Linked DNA regions of Alligator mississippiensis. The protein of the gene in region 3 purifies or fractionates together with the protein of the main gene of each other region. This does not show direct contact. Links are inferred from orthologs where the notes say so. Each region holds a gene or a part of one and is shown on either strand. Other genes may lie near its edges.

The links.
Region 1: the proteins of PEX5 (region 3) and ACOX1 purify together in Homo sapiens (affinity purification with mass spectrometry; 3 studies listed by BioGRID, with this or other methods). This does not show direct contact. The link is inferred for Alligator mississippiensis from reciprocal best matches to the Homo sapiens genes PEX5 and ACOX1.
Region 2: the proteins of PEX5 (region 3) and PECR purify together in Homo sapiens (affinity purification with mass spectrometry; 3 studies listed by BioGRID, with this or other methods). This does not show direct contact. The link is inferred for Alligator mississippiensis from reciprocal best matches to the Homo sapiens genes PEX5 and PECR.

Annotation. Positions count from the first base shown.
Region 1 is NC_081831.1:13,344,177-13,351,331, reverse strand, and holds the start of ACOX1 (peroxisomal acyl-coenzyme A oxidase 1), read left to right. Parts: upstream 1-4,109; 5' UTR 4,110-4,113; coding exon 4,114-4,222; intron 4,223-4,530; coding exon 4,531-4,690; intron 4,691-7,155. Other genes in the region: CST complex subunit TEN1, read right to left, coding at 13-170, 316-425, 3,798-4,109. UniProt on the Homo sapiens protein: Involved in the initial and rate-limiting step of peroxisomal beta-oxidation of straight-chain saturated and unsaturated very-long-chain fatty acids.
Region 2 is NC_081827.1:252,180,039-252,187,466, reverse strand, and holds the start of PECR (peroxisomal trans-2-enoyl-CoA reductase), read left to right. Parts: upstream 1-4,343; 5' UTR 4,344-4,344; coding exon 4,345-4,477; intron 4,478-5,564; coding exon 5,565-5,698; intron 5,699-7,428. UniProt on the Homo sapiens protein: Participates in chain elongation of fatty acids. Catalyzes the reduction of trans-2-enoyl-CoAs of varying chain lengths from 6:1 to 16:1, having maximum activity with 10:1 CoA. Has no 2,4-dienoyl-CoA reductase activity.
Region 3 is NC_081824.1:244,302,003-244,310,040, reverse strand, and holds the start of PEX5 (peroxisomal biogenesis factor 5), read right to left. Parts: upstream 3,023-8,038; 5' UTR 2,833-3,022; coding exon 2,686-2,832; intron 2,246-2,685; coding exon 2,210-2,245; intron 2,022-2,209; coding exon 1,889-2,021; intron 1,689-1,888; coding exon 1,554-1,688; intron 1-1,553.

The DNA.
Region 1 (7,155 bases), on a different chromosome or scaffold from region 3:
ACAAAAACGTACCATCCCGCTGTTCCATGTCTCCCAAGGCCACATACAGGAACCCAAGCTGGGCTTGGAATGGTTCCACAAATTTGGTGCAAACACGGACCTGGTGCTGGACTGAGTTGTGCTGGGCTGTGAGGACGGCTTCAGACTGGGCCAGGTCATAGCAGTGCAACCTGAAAACAATTGATTTGCTAAACTCAGCTGCAGCAGCCCTCAGAAGTAAGCTGAGACACCCAGGATATGAAGGAAATGCTGAGGGGAGGAAGAAGTTATGGAAAGAAAGAGATGGCCTGGAAGGAGTCTGGGAATAGCACTCACCTGCCAAATGTTCTCAGTGTTTCCCCATCCCGGACAGGTCCAGAATTTATCTCCCAAGGGAAATAATATATGCCAGGATTGAGCAGCATCTTGCACAGCTGCTGCAAGTCCTATAAACACACAAAATTCAAGGCAGGTGTTCAAAGGTTCACAGGATTCCCTTTATTGACTCCCACACTTACCTAGAACTGTCCCCCTTATGCATACAACGAAGGTCCACCCTTGCCTTTCATATCATGTTTAATTCATTTTTGCTAAGTTCTAACTATAAATAAGTATCTTCAAAGTGCTGCACACTTCGTTGCATCCCCTCAGCAGCCGCACAATACAAGTATACTTATTCCAGGTCTACATGTGTCAAAGCTGAAGAAGATAGACTGAGGCTGCCAGAGGCCTCCAAGGAGTCACAAAAGCTAAGGCTAAAGAACTCATGAGCTTTTGGGTCCCACTGCTGTTATCAAGCCTCTAGATTGTGGCTTCTCTCAAAAGATCTTGAAGACCCACTGAAGTATGTAAATGCAACACTGACTACATGGCTCACTGGTGAATGCTCAGGTGGCACAGCATGAAGCTTACAATACGAGCCAAATTCTGAATATTTTCACTGGGTGTTTTTCAGGCCATGTTTGGGTCACAGGGAGTACTGCTGGCTGGCTTCCCCACTAAAAAGCCTTGTGTCAGATATAAAAGGCCATTGACAGTCTCTCTTCATCCAGATCTGTTGTTTCCAGGGCTGTCCCATTTCAGTGCTGCAGGAAGAGGGGCTTATCATTATTTGGATCACAACTTTCCAAGGGATAAGGAATGTATCCAGAGAAAAATAGGGTGTCAGAAGTAGTTTGCTTCAATATATATCTATGGCAGTCAGGCTCCATAACAATATTTAAGAACTCTACAAAGACTTGCAGAGATCTCTCTCCAAGAGGCCTATCCTAAATCAACACAAGGACTCAATGGGCCATAGAGCCCAGAGTCTATGGAGTAGTTATTCCTCAGCTCAAGCTCTGATTCAAATTGCTCTAAGAACAGATCAAAGCCATGAAGGCCAACAACAGATCAAAGCCCCATGGCTTCTAAGCTAGAGCTTATCTCTCTGTCCAAGATCCCCTTCTGCTGTTCCAGTGCCCATATGCACTTCCTGAGAGCAGGTGCCTCAGAGACCCAGGCCTGAGACAATGGGAAACAGAAGCCAACATCGTTGTGGGCTGGAGGAAGAGGAAGCTAAGATCTCGATGCCATCCCTGGAGAGCTTGAGGAAGGTAAGTGGAAATCCTGGCTCGGCAACCCAGGCTTGAAGGGGCACATAAAGGTCTCTGCTTCCCTCATATCCACTCAAGACCTTAATCAAGACAGAGACAGCAAAATACTTCAAACAGGCTGGAAGGCAAGGGCAGATCCAGCGGGGCGCAGTTGCACCCCACACCCTTTCACTCCTTCTCTACCTGAACTTTAAAACCAACTGTCTGGGAGGGTAAGTGGCACTTCTATTGAGGCTCATGGAGTCAACTGACTTCATGGCTCATTATCACCTCCCCGTTTCCTGGTAATCTCTCTCCATTCCCCAAATATTAATGACCCTTTTTTCTCTCATAAGTATTGGACCCTTTTTATGTTCCATAATTAACTATCTTTTCTTCTGCAGTTTTGCTGTCTGTTAGCCATTCCTGGTAACGTCTCTTCTATTTCACAGCCCTGCAGATGCCTTTTAGCTCCAGCTAAAAAACTTAACTTGAGTGTAGTAACTAACTCAGGTGTAGAAGTAATTGACAGCGAGGTATAGGGGTGGATCCACTGGTGCATGCCCCCTTTGATTCCTACTCCATCCAAAGTTTAAAACCAACTGCCTGGCCATGGCAGCAGCTTTTCTGTTCAGGCAGCAGAGAGAGCATCAATTGAATTCATATGCCATTAAAATCTACCTGATTCCTTCTAAACTCTTCATTCTACAGGTGTGAACCACCCTCTCTCCTTTTGAATGATTTTTAATGGTTCCGCTAATCAAGCTATCCTTTGTTCTGCAATCCTGCTGTCTGTTAGCTGTAGCCACTTCTAGTAACGCAGCTCCCACAGACTGCTTTCAACTCTAGTGGGAAACATTAACTCAGGTGTGGAAATAACTTTCAGTGAAGCACTGGATGCATTAAGATGCTCAAGAAGGCTTGATTTTGTTTTATGAATCTGAAAGAGAGGCACATATATAATGAAAGTCTTTGCTCTTGATGGTCCACCAATCAGGCTGGCCTTTCTTTTGTCGTTTTGGTGTCTCCTGGCCAGTCCTGATAACCTCTCTTCTGCTTCACAGCCCTACTGTCCATTTCTAGTTTCAACTAAAAGCTTTAACTCAGGTGGGATAACATTAACTTAGGCAAATATTCACTCAGGTGTGGAAATGACCAACAGCAACGTGTAGGCTGCCCTGTGAAAAAGCTGAGGGACGGTAGAGTGCGTTTCCGGCGCCCAAAAGAGAAACATATGTTAAACCATAACACCAACAGGGCTAAGAACACAGGTATCTCTGGACTACTTTGGCACAGCCAGTTGCGTTTTTTTAATCTAAGGCGTCATGGCTTATAAGGACAGGTTGAGGGAACTGGGCTTATTTAGTCTAGAGAAGACTGAGAGGGGACTTAATATCAATCTTCAACTACCTGAAGGTGGGATCAAAAGAGGATGGAGCTGGACTGCTCTCAGTGGGGACAGATAATAGAACAAGGAGCAATGGGCTCACGTTGCAGCAAGGGAAGTTTAGATTAGATGAGGAAGAATTAGGGGCATCTATACACGTATCTTTGTCTGCTCCAACACCGGGGAAATCCAGCGTGTCAAAGCAGATTCAATTAATCAAGTCTGCGGAGCATGCGAGCTGATGTGCCCAGCGCTGCATCGCATCTATTTGTACAAATGGTGAAATATGCATCATTGCTGAGAAAATGGCAGCAGCGTGGCTTTTGAACAAAAATACCTCCAATGTATTTTAACTCAAAAGAGTGCCACCGCTACTTCCTCAACACTGACGCGCATTTCACCATCTATACAAATGCATGCAATGCAGTGCCAGGTACTTTTGAAAGCACCCAGCACTGTGGCACATACAGGCCTTAGGAAGGTAGGGAAGCACTGGTAAGGGCAACCCCACAGGGCTGGTGGCATCTCCTTCCTTGGAGGCTTTTAAAACCCAGATGAACAAACCTTTAGCTGGGATGAGCTAGTTGGTGCTGGTCCCCCTTGGAGCAGGGGTTGGACTAGCTGTGACCACCTGCGGTCCCTTCCCACCCTCACTATGAACCAGTGACGTTGAGTTCGTTCCAGTGACGTCACATCCATCTTTACTTCACTCTGCAACATCGTAACGTAACGTAACGTAATGTACCCCAACCCCACCCCCGGTCAGTAAAGCTTTCAGCTTCTCTGAACCCATAGCAAGGAAATAGGTTCCCCCCTTGCACAGCTCTGGGGGAGGGATCTTTCCCCCGCGCCCTTACCTCCACTCCCGCCTCCCAGCGCGTCCAATCGCCGCCGCCTCCGGCTCCCACGTGACCGGGACCCAGAGCTCCGCCCCTCAGCAGCGGCCACATGGGGGCGGGTCTCGCCCAGCCAGAGCCTCCCCCTGATTGGTTCCTCCGTGCAGCGTCCCCGCCCCGCCCCCGGGGGGGAGGGGGCGGAGGAAGGAGGGACTCGAGCGTCACGTGACGGCGGCTCGGCGCAACGTGCGGGCTGAGGGGGCGGGGCCTGGCCGGCAGGTCGCTCCCGGCTCGGTCACTAGCTCGCACAGCCGCCGCCGCCGCCGCCGCCATCACGATGAACCCGGACCTGCGCAGGGAGCGTGAGGCGGCCGCCTTCCAGCCGGAGCTGCTCACCCACGTCCTGGATGGCGGCGCCGAGCGCACGAGCCGCCGCCGCGAGATCGGTGAGTGGGAGCCCCTGCCCGCCGGCCTGGAACTCCCCGAGCCCCCAGGCCCCTCCCACATGCCCTGGGACACCCCGCCCCCTCGGCCCCCCACCCACTGCTGAGGGGGCCCCGCCCCCTGCCCCCCACACTGCTGGGGGCCCCGCCCCCTGCCCCCCACACTGCTGGGGGCCCCGCCCCCTGCCCCCCCGCACTACTGGAGGGGACACTGGCCTGGGAGACCCCACGTCCCCCCATCCCCGGGGGCTGGGGCAGCCCCGAGTGCTGTAATGGGGTCCCCCTGCTTCTCTCCCCTCACCCCCCTGCAGAGGCGCTGGTCCTGAACGACCCCGAATTCCAGCACGAGGACCTGAACTTCTTGTCGCGCAGCCAGCGCTACGAGGTGGCCATCCGGAAGAGCGCCCTCATGGTGATGAAGCTGCGCGAGTACGGCATCGCCGACCCCGATGAGATCTACTGGTTCAAAAGGTACCTGGAACTGCGTCTGCCTGTCCTCAGGGTGGGCTGAGGCACAGGGGCGCTGAGCTGGTACTCGGCCAGGGCTTGGGGATGCTTTCCAGCAGGGAAACCCCTCACAGGGGCTGACCTACGGCCTGACTGGGGCTCAGAGCCCCCCTTTCCAGCAAAAAAAAAGGGCCCTATTGGGAGGCATGGGGTTGACCTGCTGCACAGCCAGGGCAGAGAAACACTTGCCATCAGGAAAAAGCCATAGGAAGGCACGTGGTTGACCTGAAATCCATCTGGGACTGTCTGGGCTACAGGTCAAGTGGAAGGCAGGGTAGTTTTGCATCTTATAGACTAACCAAAGTAGATATATAAAGCCCGAGTTTTCATGAGCTTCAGTTCCCTTCATCAGATGCAGGTCAAGTGTCAAAGCAAGCTGACCGCCTGCCCCAAAATCCACTGAAATCTTGTCTTCAGTGAACTTTGGTTCAGTTCCTCGTCTTGGGTAAAACCTGTTGTATGTCCTTGTGCTGATTATAGAGCTGTCAACAGGAACTATCCTCTTCAGAGCCAAGCCTTGTAAGAAGGCTGAAAACAATGTGGCGTATAGGCACTGCAGTTCCCCGTGAAGAAGTAAAGGTCCCGCACTTAAACAGGTTGATGACTAATGGGGCGATGCAGGGACTTTTAACACATCAGAGATATGGCAGGACCAGGCCTGCCAAGGAAACTATGAGCCTCCTTTCGTATGGGGGGGCCAATAGTGACGTGTTACTGGTTACTTGGGACAAATACTAACGAAAACAGGGACAGGAGTAGAAGGGGTAACGCAAGGACTCTGGCCTTAATGCACTTCTGTGAAGTTCCTTACTTCAGATCGAACTTAGGCCTATTAGAGTTCCCCTGTCCTCGTAACTGAGAGAGGGACTGTGACTAGTGGAATAGCTTTGGGGTTGTCTGTTCTTCTATTTCTCCCTTGTTAAATCTGCCCAATGGTGAGCAAACAGCACCTTTCACAATCAAGTTGGACAGCTTCCAGCTCGTCATAAATGCAGTTCCTAGTGGAACTAAGCACCTTTGACCCATTTTCTCAATAAAGTTCCTTTACACAAAATGTTTGAGGCAGATTTCCATTAACTTCTTAACATAATGACTCTGCAGCTCTAGAAATCCACTGGCTTCAGAGGGGGCTGGACCAGATATTTGGGTCAAATTCATTAACTACAGGCATGCGTAGATGAAACGGGGGCCCTAAATTGAAGTGTAGGGCTGATTAAACCCCTGTGTCGTGCATACACCCCGCTGACTTACCTGCCTTTCCAGCAGGGAAGGGAGGGTGAGCTGGTGGGGGGCAGAGCAGTCCCTGGGCTGCAGGGGGGGCTGGTGCTTCCTGCTGTGGCCCCACCCCGCAGGTGGCACCCGCCTGCAGGCACCTGGCGGGGGTGGGGTGGCACTGCTGCCACAGAAGGAAGCACCAAGCCCTGTGCAGCTCAGGCAGGCTGGCAGGCTTGGAAGAGCGGGTGGATGCAGAGGAAAAAAAAGGATCAGAGGCTCTCCGCTTTTCTTGGGTTTCTTGCTTTCCAGAGCTGCTGCCAGGTGCCTGCAAGGCTTCCTGCAGAGCCCCTGAGCTGCATGGAGTCTGGTGCTTCGCTCTGTGGCTGTAGGGGCAGCAAACTAAAACTCCTCAAAGAAGTTTTAGTTTGCTGTGCCCCAAGTCATTTAAGGCGCATTATGCCGCCAGATTTCCTACAGTGGCTGGAATTAATGCACAATATGCTGCCAAGGCGTGCAGACACTGACACTGTTTAAGCGGTGCAAAAGCATTTAGCCCACTTTAAAGTGTGGTTTACACACACCTCTCGTTTCATCTACACACAGCCTACACAGCAGTAGTAGTTCCCAGGAGAAATTGGTGGACTCTAAATCTTTTTTAACATCAGTAGAAGTTCCGAGGAGAAATGCTTCAATTTAGATGCCACTTGGAAAATGACCTGGAATGTAGATCTGGCTTACAATTACATTGATCACAAATACAACCCTTGGCAAACTATAAGGCATTGTGCAGCCAATACCATTCATTTGCTTGTCCTAAAATGAAAATGTTTTTATAGTGTAGTCCAGTTTCAGCCATCCTAATGGAGAAATGGCAGCTAGTAGCTCTTGTGGCTTAGCTAACAAGTCTGCAGGATGTAAATACAGTCAACTTTGTTAATGGATATTGGATAAATCCACTAAAATACATAATATGAGCCTAGTTTTTTGCTTCTGGCTTAGATTCTCATACATATTGTCTACTTGCATTTTGGTTAAGTACGTAACTTGTGTAACATCTTTTAGACACTGTTTACTGCCTATTGCACTTGTACTTAGTACTCCATTTTTGTAACTCGTTAGCAGCTGTCAACTCCAAAACTATGGCCATAGTGCTAGCACTGCTATACAGCACTGACACAGTAGCTGCTAAGGAAGTGTGAACAGCTGTTTGATTA
Region 2 (7,428 bases), on a different chromosome or scaffold from region 3:
GCTAAGGAGATTATATGGACTGCATGTACTCCTACAACTGTAGGGACAGATAATGCAGGTTTAGACCATTGTGGGAACCCCAGTGCTGATCAGCATAATTTCTAGAGTTGGAAGGGACCTGAACAGATCATCAAGTTGATGATGGGCAGGAACGAGTGCTGGCATCACAATACCCCAGCCAGATATCTATCCAACCTCCTCCTTGAAGAGCCCCAAGGTAAGGAGGAGCACCACCTCACTTGGGAGCCCATTCCAGAGCCTGGCAGCCCTCACCATAAAGTAATGTCTCCTGATATCAAGCCTGAACCTGCTCTCAATCAATTTGTGGCTGTTATTCCTTGTTATCCCAAGTGGTGCCTGGGGGAACAGAGCCTCAACTATTTTCCACTATCCCCCCTGGTGAGTTTTATAGATGGCCACCAGATCCCCTCTCAGCCTTCTCTTGTGGACGCTGAATAGATTCAGGCCCTTTAGTCTATCTTCATAGGACCTGCCCTGCTGCCCCCTGACCATACAAGTAGCCCTCCTCTGGACCCTCTCAAGGTAAGCCACATTCCTCCTGAAGTGCGGCACCCAGAACTGGATGCAATACTTCAACAGCAGCCTGACCAGTGCCGCATAGAGGGGAAGGATCACCTCCCTGGACCTGCTTGTGATACATCTGTGGATGCACGACAAGGTGCGGCTGGCCTTACTGACCACTTTCCACACATTGGCAGCTCGTGTCCATCCTGGAGACAACAATGACTCCAAGATCCCTTTCTGCCACCGTGTTGTTGAGAAGGGTGTTCCCCAGCCTATAGGTGTGTTGCTGGTTCCTTCTCCCCAGATGCAGCACCTTGCACTTGTCTGCACTGAACTCCATCCTATTCTCATCCGCTCACCTCTGCAACCTGTCTAGATCCAGTTGGATTCTGTCCCTCCCCTCCTCTAGTCCACGCTCTTGTGCAGACCTGGAGGGACCAACAATGGCTTTACGACTCCCACAAGAGGAAAGTCCCCTTCACGGAGCTGTGGGAAATGATTGGCAAGGCCCTTCTGTACCAAGGCATACGCAAGATGGAGTCCACACCAGCAGGTTGCTATTGCCATCTGGAAGTGGGCTACCCCAGACTGTTATAGTTTGGTGGCTAATCTGTTTATGTTGGTAAGTCAATGCTTAGTGCCATGGTACTGAAGGTTTGCAAGGAGGTTGTTATTGTCCTTTACTGCCAGTAGCAAATATTGCTGATGTCCTTGAAACAATAGCAAGCTTGATGGGACTGGGCTTTCTGAACTGTTTCAGCTATCAGCAATGCATTTCATAGTATGCCCATCTTTCTCAAAAGGGTACATGCATGCCTCAGCTGAGCTGCATGCCTTGCCTGAGGGTGGAGGGAGGTTCAAGAAAACCCATGTGGAACATGAATTGGGTGCATGATGCCACAGTATTCCAGACACGAGGCACTTTCACTTTATTCGTGTTATTGGTTGGGAATTATCGATGGGGCACTCTATGGTGACAGACTGAATTCATTGCTATACCTCTTGCCCTGTCCACTGGCCTATGTTTAAGATTAAATAAGAGACATGTGTGTGTAGATACTAGCTGGGACAGGAGCAATCCCTTGATAAGAGTCCAGGCCAATTCTTCTGTAAGCTCATACCAAGGCAGGCATGCTTTGCTTCTTTATTAAGTGTAAATCATATCTTTTTAAAATTTAAATTGGCTTATTTGAAAAACATTTCTACTACTAAATAAAAATACAGCTACCTATATTAATGTCCACATTTTTTAAAGTCAAGCAAGCATTTAAATGAAATAAAAACAGGATATGGACAACACGTTTGCTGCTCAGATTTTAAATCCACTCAACCAAACTACTGAACTAATAGAAGTCATTAGCTAAGCACCAGTGACAAGAATTTGATAAAAACAGCTGCTGAAAGCCACAGCCTCCTCTGCAGGTGCAGAAATAATATCTTCCTTTATTTCAATATATTCAACTAGTTTGATCTGATTCATTCAAAGCTGAGATGCAAAATGGGAACAAAAAAAGCAGGAAAGCTCGTCTTCCTCTGACAATCTATGAACGAACAAAAGGTATAGGTAAGAAAGTGAGCTCTCCTAGTTCTAACATCTTGAAGCAGTGACCCAGCCCCCCTTTAATTCATTAACTATTAATAATCATTTTGTATTAAAACACTTTGATAAATTATTTTTTTAATGCATCTAATGTAACAGCTTTAACTAAAAATAAAAAATGATGTTTTGTTTAAATGTTTTCCAACTATTCAGTTGGTCTAATAAAAGATATCACATCTACCCAAAGAACCGTGCCTGCCTATGTCCTGAGACTAACATGGCTACAACCAAAAACCCAGCAAAATGATGTTTTGTACATTTTAGTGAATTTCTAACTTCAATCCAAATGCACTTTGTGATTTCTATCAATCAAAACTTTAACACCCCCCCCAAAAAAAACCAAAAACAAATGATCATCCAATAAATAACTGGCCCTTTCTTCATTGCTTAAATAAAAAGTGTACAGATATAGGATATCCTACCAGTTAACAAAGAAGTTCCAAGTTGTCGTGTGGGCCTATATCCATTTGTATAGATCAATGTATTTTAATGCTTACCAACCAGTGAGAATCAGCTTTAAAAAGGTACAATAACTATAAAAAAAAAAAAATACAAAAGCAAAACAAAATTAGAACTGAGAACTTAAATTAACATTTCCTGCCCTTGACTTAAATCATGATTTTAAAACTGGTGATTTATAATCACTTTAATTCCACCTGAGGCAATTTAAGGCAGAAGTGGCCACCCCATGACACGGTCAGACTGGGGAGGGGACGGGCATCCAGGCAGCAGTCGTGCAAGAGGCAGAAAGCAGAGCAGAAGATTGGGCAAGAGAAGAGACTGGAGCGGAGCTGGGGGAGGATGCAGGGCTAACTTGCAGCATACTTGCCAAAAAGGTTGGTTTAAAACCTTGAATCATACGCAGCTCACGTTGGTCCCAGCCTGAAGTCGTCACCTTCGGTGGCAACAAGAACGGACAGCGGCAGTTTCTGGTTAGCGCTTAGCAGATAGGGATTTAAAGCAGACGCAGTAATCCCACCCCACAAGAAGTGCGACTCTTGCAGGACGGTCCCTGCGGGGCACGGTTAGTGCAGACACTGACAAAGCCCTGATTTCTTTCTCTTACTTCTTTAAATAGCACTTCCGATGCTGGATTGAGGAGCGCGTCACGTACCTGTCCAGAAAAATGACCGACTTGATTGAGATTTGAAGTCCATCCTGATAAAAATCGTAATCTGAAAGCGTGGCGTATCACACCGGAGAGGCAAGCCGTTCATTTCTGCGGCGAGGCTGCGGTCCCGGCTCGCTAACGCGGAGGAGCGTTTCTCGCTGGGACTCGTCCCATGTACAGGCAGTCCCTGACTTACAACATTTTGCACTGAGACGTTTACAAACCACGTTTCAACTGTCTGACATCAGTTTCGTCTTCACGACGCTCGCTCCGACGCCACGCCACGCCCGCGAGCGAGTTCTCCGCCTCGCTCGTCGCTCATCTGTCCCAACGTCCTCCGACGCTTTCTTTCAGAAAGCCCACGAACCCCAAAAAACCTCCAGCCAGGAGCCCTTCGCAAAGTCCGGCACGGGCACCTCAAAGAAGTCCTTCCGAATGGCTAGGATTGCTATTTACGATAGCAATACGTGCGTGTAGCTACGTGACGTATCCGTAGTGGATCGAGTGCAAAATTCTGGGGTATTTTTAGTGAAAACAGGGTGTCAGGCCTGGGTTCAGGAACCGATCCCCCATTTACAACATTGTTTCCTATGGGGAAAAGCGGCTCCGGGTTGCAATGTTTCGAGGCAAGGCTTGTTTTTCGGGCCTGCCTCGTCCGGGGAGAGTGTCTAGGGGGCGGCCGCAGAGTGAGCTTGGCCCGTTTTGAAGACGAGCGCACACGGGGGGGGGGGGGTGTAAAATGACCCGCATTAGAGACGGGGGAAAATGTCTTTTGTGCCCGGCGTGCGCCGCGCCCCGGCTCTGGGGGAGACACGGGTGGAGGAGGAGGAGGAGGAGGAGCCCGGCCCGGCTGTCAGGTGTGTCCTCACGCGCGGGCACACACGCCTGTGGGACACCGCTCGGCAGCCGTCGAGACCGCGCCGTGCACACGGGGACACCCCCAAACCCCACCCGGCCCGGCGATGCCCGTCCCTACCTGGCGGCGGCCCGGCCCGGCCCGGCCCGGGGCGGAGGCTGAGGTGAAGGGGGAGGGGGAGGCGGCCGCAGCGGGTGGCTGACGCGCGTGGAGGGGGCGGGGCGAGAGGCGAGGGGCGGGGCCTGCGCTAAGATGGCGGCGGCGGCGGGCGGCGCGGGGCGGGTGCGGGCGCTGGTGCCGGGGCTGCTCGGGCAGCGCGTGGCCATCGTTACGGGCGGCGGTACCGGCATCGGCAAGGCCATCGCCGCTGACCTGCGCCACCTCGGTCAGCGGCTCGGCCTGTGGGCGTGCTGCCTGCTTGCCTGGGAGTGGCACGGGGCGGGACCAATGGGGAGGCAGGTGTGGCGTCGGGGCGGGGCTTGTAGGGTTGCCTGGGAGTGGCAGAGGGTGAGACCAACAGGGGGACAGGGATGGGCTTGTCGAGGTGGTGCCTGGGAGTGGGAAGAGGGGGAGCGGGTGTGGCGTGGGGGCGGGGCCTGTGGGGTGTTGCCTGGCAGTGACGGGGTGGGGGAGTTAGGGGGCGGGGCCTGATAGCATGGGGTGGGGCAGGTCCCTCCCTGGTGGGTGCCCAAACCCCATGGGCTGCTGCAGCTGAGAGCCCTGACCCCGCGCTGGGCCTGGGCCTGTGCCCGTGTAGCACCAGCGCGCGCACACCCAGCCCCATGGCAGGATTCGGGAAAATCAGGAATCAAGAAAAACTCTCTCAGGAGGAGGGTGGTGAAGCACTGGGACAGGTTACCCAGAGAGGTGGTGCAGTCTCCATCCTTGGAGGTGTTTAAGACCCGGCTCAACAAAGCCTTGTCTGGGATGATGTAGTTGGGGCTGGTCCTGCTTGGAGCAGGGGCTGGACTAGAAATGCACCCCCCCCCCCCCCGTCCCTTCAGCCCTCGTTGTCTGCGATTCTCCGAAGGAGAGAGTTGGCAAGGCACTTTTGTAACCTTGTTATAGCACAGATAGGTTCGTGCATCTCGTTCGCAGTGAATAATGCCCCACATAAAGCCGAAGTGAGCTGCGGCTGGTGTGAGCTGGGCTGCCGTGTTGGTATTGTGGGTGAATATCCAAGCACTGGGCAGGCCAGGAGGTGCGAGCTCCCTTCTCATCCTGTCCTTTCTCAAGCACCTTGGGATCCCGTGTTCAGCTTCCCTCTGCTGCTCCTTGTTTCTCGAACTTCCCAAATGAAAAGAAGGGTTGAGGGCTCGTAGGGGCCGGGACTGATCTCTGACGGCATGCCCGTCGTCTAGCAATGGTCAACGAGTGGCTGTCCTATAAAAGACCCATGTTACGAAATGCCTAATGCAGCAGCTCCATATGCGTAGCGTCTGTCTAAAGGGGTTTTGGGTTTGTTTCCACAGGTTGCAATGTAGTTATTGCCTCTCGCAAACTGGACAGATTAAAAGCTGCTGCCAAAGAGCTGACTGATCAAAACTGTTCCCCAAATCCAGCCCAAGTAACCCCCATGCAGTGCAACATCCGCAAAGAGGAGGAGGTAAAGTACAGTAAACTCGCCGTCCCGCTTCAAATGTCAAAGGCAGACTGGTGCTCGGTCCTCGGAGGGTCTTTTTAAGACGCACCTCCCTCTGAGGAAGGTCACCGCAGGTGGCTGCGTTGTTGCATTTCTGAAATAGACGGTTTCGATGCAGTGACCGAAGGCAGGTGGGGCTGAAACGGCCATTTCCCGGAGATTGTGTCACTGCAGGATAGGATTGCATCGGATGTCCCTGCCTGATGCCCATGGGTGGGTTCTGCTCAGTGCTCCAGAAGAGCGTGGGGGCATAAAGTCACGGGATAAAATTCTGGACCTCTCAATTTAACTCTGTGGGTCTGAAGCTTGGTATTTAAACCTCCAGCCTTGTTTACACCCTCTGTGAGGCTGGAGTAAAACTGGGCATTTTGAGGCTATTCTTGAACAGTGTTGTGGAGAACAAATTTTGTTCAGGCCAGGTGAGCCACAGACCTAGTTTAATCCACTCCAGATTGGGTATGGGAAGCCTAGCCTGCCTAGGAATGACGCTGGACATTTCTTTGGGGAGGATAAATCTTCTTTTCATTACCTAAAGGGAAGCTGTGGTGCTCTCTAGTATGGAGGGATGTTTAAAGGGAAGGTGGCAGAGAGTCGCTTCTTTTTACTTGACTCCCTTGGAGCAGGGAAATGTTTGCAGTTCATATGGTTTTCTTTGGCTCTCCCTAAATGTTTGCCAGTGATACTAAAGCTTCAAAGCATCCAGTTCATTGCAGTTTCTTTAGTATGATCCCTTTGACATGGGCAATTGCAGTCCAGTTAGTGGTTAGCTGATGGGTTGAAGTCTGCATCAGAGGCATATTGAGCTTCTGCAGCACCCTGGGTAGAGTGCTGAAGTCCTACCTGCTCCAGCTCTCTCTGCACGCAGGGTGCAACAAGGGGCACCAAAATCCTTCCCTGCCCCTACCAGAGTATTTGCCATGGCAGGCATAGCTACAGAAGCTGGGCAGTCCAGTAGCATATGGGGGAAACGTTGAGTGGAATAGCCCCCTTCCCCCTTCCCTCCCCTACACCCCCTCAGCATTTTTGCCATGGGAGGGGCAGTTCCTTGCCCAGTAGTATTTCGGGGCAGGGGGTGGGAGTAAACAGGGCACCAGAGGCAGCTCACTGTACATTGGCTGTGGCCCCTCCATGGCAGGGGCTCTCCATGGGCTGACGCTGGTGTTCTTTTTCACCCCTATGTCCTTTCCCCCAGATTTGTGACTAGATGAGGATCTGCACCTCCTGCAGCAAAAATGCCAGGAGAAGGGAGCCCTTTCCACTTAACCCCCTCCCCTCCATACCGTACTGGGCACAAGGCTGCACCTGTTATAGCGAAGGCTTGGAGCTGGGGGGTGGAGGAGGCATTCTGATGCCCCCTCCAAGTCGGCACCTGGGGCTGGTGCCTCGCTCGCCCCTCTAGTTATGCTACTGTTGCATTGCCAATTTCTGTGGGCCACAAAGTGATTGTGGATGCTATACAGTGTTGCAAAGCCTAATCTGAAGCTCTGAGGAAGGAAGGACAGATGACACTGCTCTCCGATTAGTATTCTCATCTTAATTTCTCAGCCCAGACTTCTGTTCTTTTTTCTCGAGCTTTTCCAGTTCTCAGTAGACTGCAGGGTCCTGTAATGTAGGATTTGGGACGCATTTTGGCTGTGGTCTTTGGTTCTTTGAGGACTCTGAATGATCTTCTTTGCTATTGCTGCCATAACTAA
Region 3 (8,038 bases):
GAGACATTCAAATCAATATTTGTCTTAGGGCAGGACCAAGTTGCATCAACTAAATAGGTTGCATTGAAGAGCTACGTGTACTCAAAGACAGGTAGGGCTAGGCACTTCCTATGCCGGAAAGTTGTAATGGATTAGTTTAAATCATTTTAAAACCAATCGATTTAAACTGATATAAACTCAAACACACTTCTGGCATGTGAGCAGTTTACTTCACTTTAAGCTTAAGCCTGTTCCTAGAATCACAGAAAGTGAGGGTTGGAAGAGACCTCCAGAGGTCATCCAGTCCAACCCTGTGCTCAAAGCAGGACCATCCTAGACTATCCTCGAACCAGCCAAGGCTTTGTCTGACAAATCACCAAGGACGGAGATTCCATAGCCTTTCTGGGTAACAGGATCCAATGCTTTACTACCCTTCTTATGAGAAAAGTCTCAAAGCCTAGGATTAGACTGGATCTCGAGAACCATCTAGTCCAGCCTGTGGAGATGCAGAATTCACTGTTCCAAAGCCATTCCAGACAAATACCTATCCAGCCACTTCTTGTAAATCTTCTGTGAAAGATCACACGCCCTTTCTAGACAAGCTTGTTCTATTGCTCCGACCACAGTTATAAAACTTATAGGTTTTCTCAAGACTTGATCTGCATCTGCTTTGCTGTAGTTTAAGCCCATTGTCAAATGCTCTGCCCTCTGTGGCAAGGGAGAACAGTGTTCAAACTAGGCATACCAACTTCCTTCAACTTTTCCTTGCACAGATTGCTTTTTTCCATCTTTACTGCTCACCTCTGGACCCTCTCCAGATTTTTATTTTTTTACATCCTTCCCATAATATGTTACTTTGAAGCTGGGCACAGTACCCCAGCTCAGGCCTATCTAGCAACACACAGAGGGGTCCTGCATACACTGCTTTTGTGAATTCCACCCCAAAACTGTATTTGCTTATTTTTTTCTTTTTTAACAAGACTGCATTGCTGATTCAGGCTGAGCTTGTGATCCACTAGTAATCCCTTCAGCCCTCTCAGCAGTGCTCCTGCCAACATGGTTATCCCCCAATAGCTGGTTCAATTGGGGAATTGGGAGGTCATCTTTAGCATGAGCCCAGAACAAAGGTCAAACTCACACCTCTGAGTCCACAGCAAGATACCAACTGCTCTGCCACTCTGAGCCCAAGAATTAAGTATTCATTTGTCAAGGATTTGAACTTGGATTTCCAATATTCTGCAACTCCCCTGACAGCTGGATTGCAGTCAGTCTGTCAACTGACCAGCTTCTGTTGAAGTAAACCAAAATAAAACACTTGCACCAGAATAAGAGAGTGGCCAAAAAGGAATTTAACCCAAATTAGCAAAACAAGTGCAATTTCCTGCTTTAGGTTACACCAGTACAACTTTCCCATACAGGTGAGGTGCCGATGCAGAAGCAGCCTGTTCCAAATACTGGTCGTGTCTTATGGGTGGGCTCATCTCACATTCAAAGGACATCATCATTGTGGGATCAGGGCAGAGGCACGTTATTGACCAACACCTTAACTCAGCTTCTCAAAAATGTGCCCTCACCTGTCACCTCTGCAATGAACTCCTGTGACCAGTCGGCCTCATTGTAATCTGGGGACCCATCAGCCGTAGCATCTGAGGCGGCCAGGAATTCCTGGGCCCAGTTCTCAGACAGAGCCAGGGCTGCCACACCTGGAGCTAGGGTAGAGAGAGAGGAAGGAGGGAAGGTTAAGTGATGAGACCCGTGTGTCCTATCCCCTGCTGGTGATTGGAGAAGACCTGGCTTCCTAATCCTCAGGCACCTTCTGCCCACATCCTCTTTCTGCTCCTATCAGGATATACCACTACAGACCCAGAAAAGGCCCTGATATGCCTGACCCTTTCTTAGTCTCCCTCACCTCGCTGGGGGGCTTGGCGAAAACTTGACTGCTCAATCTCTTGCATCTCAGCCAGAAGATCATCCATCTTAAAGGTCTGGGGGACACGGGAGAGCAAGGGAGCACTTTGCTCCTGGAGGAATTCTGTAACCAGCTGCAAAAAAGAAAAAGAGAGTACATGCGTATGGGGTTGGGAGGACAAACAGCAAAGGCTCTTGGATGAAGGAAGAAGGAAGGGAGAATGTGGGTGGGAGGTGGGGGACAAGAAGGACAGAACGAAAGGGAACAGAGAGAACATGGCTGCAAGAAAGGTACTGGGTAGTGACACATGGCTACACTTACCTCATCTTCAGATGCCACTCCCAGAGGCTTGGACACCTACAGAAATGAGGGAGCAAGCAATTACTGCAAAGCATCGCCCTCTGCTGCCATCCCTCCTCCTCCCACCACCACCACCAGACTAACCAGTGCCTACCCCACCTGCAACCCAGCCCAGCACGCACGTCCCCTCCGTGTGACGAACAAAGCCACTTCCAGCACAGCCCACCTCCCTTGGACACCCCTTGCGGAGAGATGTCCTAGCCGGCATGATGGCAACCTCCTGCTTTCCAGGAACCCCCAGGGTGTTGGGAACAGATGCCCCTGCACCACCAGCCCAACACATCAGACAGCAGGGTGAGGGCCCAGGGCCACCCACCTGCACCCTGCAGCCCTACACCCGGGGTGGGAGCAGCCACCCTGTCGCAGCACCTCCATCCTGTACCCGTGCTCCCTGCCAGGTGACGGCCCCTGCCTCGCCACACTGCCTTGGCACTCACGGCGTCGGCAGGAAGCGCGGGGGGCCAGGCAGCGGGGCCTGGCAGCCCCTCCTGCCGCAGGGCCTTGTCCTGGGTGAAATGCCCGGCCAGCTGCATGAGCGGGTTGGAGCCCCCGCACTCCGGCTCCACCAGCTCCCGCATCGCCATCGTGGCCGGGGGGCGCCGCGCCGCCTGCGCCTGTGCACACACGAGAGCGGGAGCACGGCGGTGAGAGGCAGCCCGCACCCCCCGGCCCGGCCAGGCCCGGCACGGCACGGCACGGCACGGCACAGCCCGCGGGCGGCTCGAGGCAGGCCCCTCCCGACGCGACGGCAGCCGGGCTCCGCCAGGCTCGCAGCAGGGCCGGGGCGGCGGGGGGCGGGGCCACACCTTAAAGGGCCAGGCGCCCCGCGCGCCGGCCTAGGCGCAGGCGTTCGGGCCGCTCTGACGTCGGTCTCGCGAGCGGCGGCGGCGGCGGGGAACCCCGGGGCCGGGGGGAGGAGTGGGGAGACTCCTCCCGCGCCAGCACTGCGGAGAGCAGCAGGAGGCTCCGTGGACAGTCACACAAACACCACCTCGGGCAGGCGGCGGACTGCAGCAGCCTCTCAACCCGCGGGTCGCTCGCGAGAACTTCAAGGGTCCTCTTAAGTGGGAAGCCAGGGTTTTCGCTTGCAGGCTGGCAGAGGTCTAGCCTGGGAGGGAGTGCCTGGGGCTTCGTACCCCACACCCTGGGATCGGGAGTGAGGGCTTCTGGGAGCAGAATAGACATCGATGTTTATAAATGGGTCCTGCTGCTTAAAAGTGAGAACCAGTGCCCTAGGTGAACCCTGGAGGTGCCTTCCCTCCCAGCCCTGCTTCTCCATGACGCCACCCAGCTGGGCAAGAGCCCGAAGATCCTGCGCCCTTAATCCTGCAGTCCTTACACACGGAATCAAAGACAGCGAGGGTTGGAAGGGACGTCAGGAGTTCATCTAAGCCAACCCCCTGCTCAAGGCAGGATTAACCCTGACTAAAACCTCCCAGCCAAGTCTCTGTCCAACCTGCTCTTGAAACAGTGAGAATATAATAATAAAAGAAAAAAGCCAAACACCAAATCTTAAAAAATAATTAGAGATTCCCTCTCCTGGGAAGAGGAGACACCAAGCCATATGTTATCAATGTTTGTCGTGTTATTTCACACAGTACTGGAAGACGTGGTGAGGAGCGTATAGGAACATATATAAAACACAAATCAACTAACATCCCTCTCTTTCGCACTTGAATTGTTTTCCAAGTTACCGTGGTGGGTGTGGTGGGAGAAACCTCCCTAAGGTCCGTTGTCTAGCTGTAATTTGATTGACAGACAACGCGGGTAAAGAAAGACAGCTGTTTAATTGCTCGAGCAAAGACCATAAAGCCAGCAAAAGGCAAAATGGCCCCCCCTCAAGGGTGAGGCGATCTTTTATACTTCTTACAACAAAGCAAGACTACATGGTTAACAAAAAGCAATACTTGGGGCGGTGCTCTACAAATCTTTGTAACAGCATATTTCTATTAAGCTGAACTAGTACTTTTTAAAAGCTAAAAGTTAAGTAACAGTAACATTATGTTAGCAAAACCTTACACAGTAGAAGATAGTTCTCAAGGACACAACCAGTAAGCTCAAACAATGGTTTCTCTGTCTTATCTTACTTCTAGCTGTAGCTGATTTTTTTTAGCACACAGACACAGATTCACTTTTTAACTCAGAAAATGCTTGTTGCAGTTAAAATGATTACTTGACACAAGCAAAGGCCTAGCTATCATTCTGCCTTGTGGTCAGCTGCATTACTAGGCCACAGGTCATGCCTTGTATTCAGCTGTAAAGCTAATATTTCTTAAAAATCCAAATTATTGTAAACCTAACAGTATGCTTTCAGAAAACTATTCTATTTCAGGGTAATGACAAACCTGCGCACTACATGGGAATTCCTCAACAGAAGTTCTATGTAAAGTTTACAGAAACACACCCAGCTGGGCAAAAACAAGAGTCCAAAGATCCCATGTCATTAGCCCTGCAGTCCTTATATTTTAACTAGCAAATTGTCCATCAAGAATGATGGGGGCAGGTAGACGGGGATGGAGCTCCACATCTAGCCACGGCTCCTGCCCACCCACCCCCACCACTGCTCTGGGTCTGCCATCCCCCCCGCACTGGGTCCAGCCCTGCATGCCCCCCCCCAGCACATTAAGGTGTACTGGGGCCCTAGGCATACACAAAATTGGAGGCCCCCTCCCCCCCATGGGAACTGGCCTACAGGGAGGAGGGGAAGGGGCCCCTTCCCCTCCTGCTGCTGGCAGAGCTGGCTGAGTGGACTTTGCCAGGCTGGGGGTGGGGGATGTACATGCCCACCTCTTCTCCCTGTTACCTTACCGCGCCCTCCCCCACTATGGCCAAACATATACACGCACACATGGGTGTACACTCTACTTTCACTCTCTGCACATGGACACACACATTCTCCCTGCCATGAACACAGACATGCACGCGCACACACAGACACAGGCAGACACAGACATGCATGCACACACACACACATATGCAGACAGATGCCATTTTGCACACAGGGCGTACAGTGTGAATTAAAAACAAGCAGGAATCTTATCAGGGGATAAAGCACAACACCACATTTATTGGAACATGAGACAAAACGTGCAACATGAAAAGAATAAAGAACAGTAAGGTTGTCTGCTTCACTCATTCCCATGCATACTCATTCATTCATACAAAAGAGACAAGTGCACACACACAGATAGTCAGACAGTCCTGCAAAGGTTAAGGTGTTACCAAGTTCTAAAGTTGCTCAGGTCAGTCTGGTGGCCGGCCAGACTGACCACAAGAGATGGAGTCAGGTCTTGTTGGACGTGCCCAAAACTCCTTCTTGCAGGTGGAAAAGACCCAAAGCCTTGTCTTTGTGTTCATTCTTTATAGTAAGAGGTGTTCATACAAGCCTATGGATTCCCCTGAGTCAGACACAAAGGTCATCCTCCTTGTCCTGTTGGCAGACTGGGATTGGTAGGATAGGATCTTCTTGCTTTGTGGTCTGCAGTCTTCAGGGGGGTCGTTGCTTGCAGTCTTCAGCCATCAGGGTGAAGCATGATCTAGTCATCAGTTAAGGATTACCAAATACTTGATGTCACTGCAGCCTTTAACCGTTAAACCACAGAAGGCTATTTTCACCTGCTGAAAGAGGACTGTCTTCCTTCACGTTGTCACATACATCCATCATTCATTCTTTCGTTATCTCTTTTCACGTATGCCAGACATACTGCAAACCCTTACACAAGTGTTTTCCTTATACTAAATTTAAGTTCTAAAGTCATGAGACCAATAGGTCAAGTATGTCTCAAATCATGAGACCAATATGTCCAATATATTTATGCTAAGCAATAAAAAATTTAAAATAGATGGTTAATTCCAGAACACTAATAATGACCGATTAAATTATTATAAAGAGTAAATCATAACAAAGATTAACTTCATCTCAATGGTTAAATTTATTCATTATATAAAAAGAAAAATAACAATATAAACAATCAAAGCAATTATAGTCACTGCAATACTACAATGGAGACAAAAACACTGTCCCTCCTGCCATGAACATAGACACATGCACACACACAATTCACACTCTGCTCACTCACTTTGTGCACATGGATGCACAAACACAAACATACTCTTCCTCCCATGACAGACACATGCACTCAAAGACATGCATGCACACACAGACTATGGGGCTATGCCCCGCCGCTCCATGTCCACCTGCCTCCCCGCTCACCTCCCTCCCTCCTTGCCCACTGACTCCCCCTCCCTGTCAGCTGCTCTGGGGGGTGCTGCCACAGTGATCCCCACCCCTCTTTGCCCTCAGGCAGGGAGGCAGGGGAGAAGCCCCACTGGTTGGGAGGCCAAGGCGTGTTCGCTGCCACCAAACTTCCCCGGCAGTGGTGCAAACTTAGGCCTGCGCAGCCCAGCTGGGCGCATGCACAGTTGGCCAAAGTGTTATGGACAGACAGACAGACTAAACCTTTTATTATATTAGAATGTACATAGAAACTGGGGGCTGGAAGGGACCTCAGGAGGTCATCTAGTCCAACCTCCTGCTCAAAGCAGGACCATCCTCAACTAGATCATACGTGTCTTCTTCAGATTTGGAAAACAAAACCTAGCTGCCTTGAGTGCCTCAACAATGACCCCAAGATGTCGCTATCCATCATGTTTCACCTGAGTTAATAGGTGACAATGATCTATGAAGTCAGTTGACTCTCTCAATGCTGCTTGAATAGAAATGCCACAGCTTCTCTCAGGCAGTTGGTTTTAACATTTGTGCAGAGCAGGAATCAAAGAGGGGTGCCAGCGCACCATTATACAGCCCCCCACCTGAATATGCCCCTGTCTGTACCTGAGGTGGCTTAGGCACATGCCCAGCTAGGCTCTTTTTTGGAAGTTGCCCAGGAGGCAGTCACCCGCAGTCTCTCCTGCAGCTCTGAGATGGGAAACTGTAGCCAGCCTGAGCTGCCTGCACTCTCCAACCATCTCTGGCAGGCACCTTGAGGGCCTCTCAAACCCCTAGAGCATCTGCCTGACTTTCCCAACTTACAGAGAGGCATCCAGGAGATCTTGGGGCCACTTCTCCATAAAAAGGAGAGTCAGGGTTCCTGCTTACAGACACTCACCCATGATCTCCAGGGGTGCTCCCCATAAGCAAGGAAAACCAGGAAAGCCTGTGCAGGTCTGTGTGTGGAGGCATGGGACCCAGGTAATCCTCACTGCCCCACATGGAGACCTGGTTACCCAGACCTGCCCCTGGCATCTCTGGGGAATCAGAGGATACCACACTTTCCCAAATTACTCAGACCTGCCCCCAAAGAGCCCAGGGGATAGGTCAAAGTGAGCAGGCAAAATGGGGCTTTCCCTACTTACCTGGACAGGTCCCTTGAGCCCCTGGGGATGGATCTGGGTAAGCAGGGAAGCCCACACTTTCCCCGCTTACCCAGAACTGCCCCCTGGGAATGCATCTGGGTAAGGCACATCCTGTTACCAAGTCATGGTGAGCTTGTAATCAACCATAGCACTCAGATCCTTCCTATTGTCAAGCTAGTTACTTCCTGTTTTGTATGTATATCTTCATTTTTTCCTTTCCTAAGTGAAGCACCTTTTTTGAAATTCTTTCTTTCTTTTTTTTTTTTGTCTGTCACTCAATTCTCCCCTGTATCAGGCTTTTTTAGATTCTAATCCTATCATCGCAGGAGTTTGCTAACCCTCCCTGTTTTGTGGCATCTGACATTGATAAGGAAGCTTTCTATTCCCCCATCCAGGTCATTGATAAAAATGTTAAACAACTATGGATGAAGAACA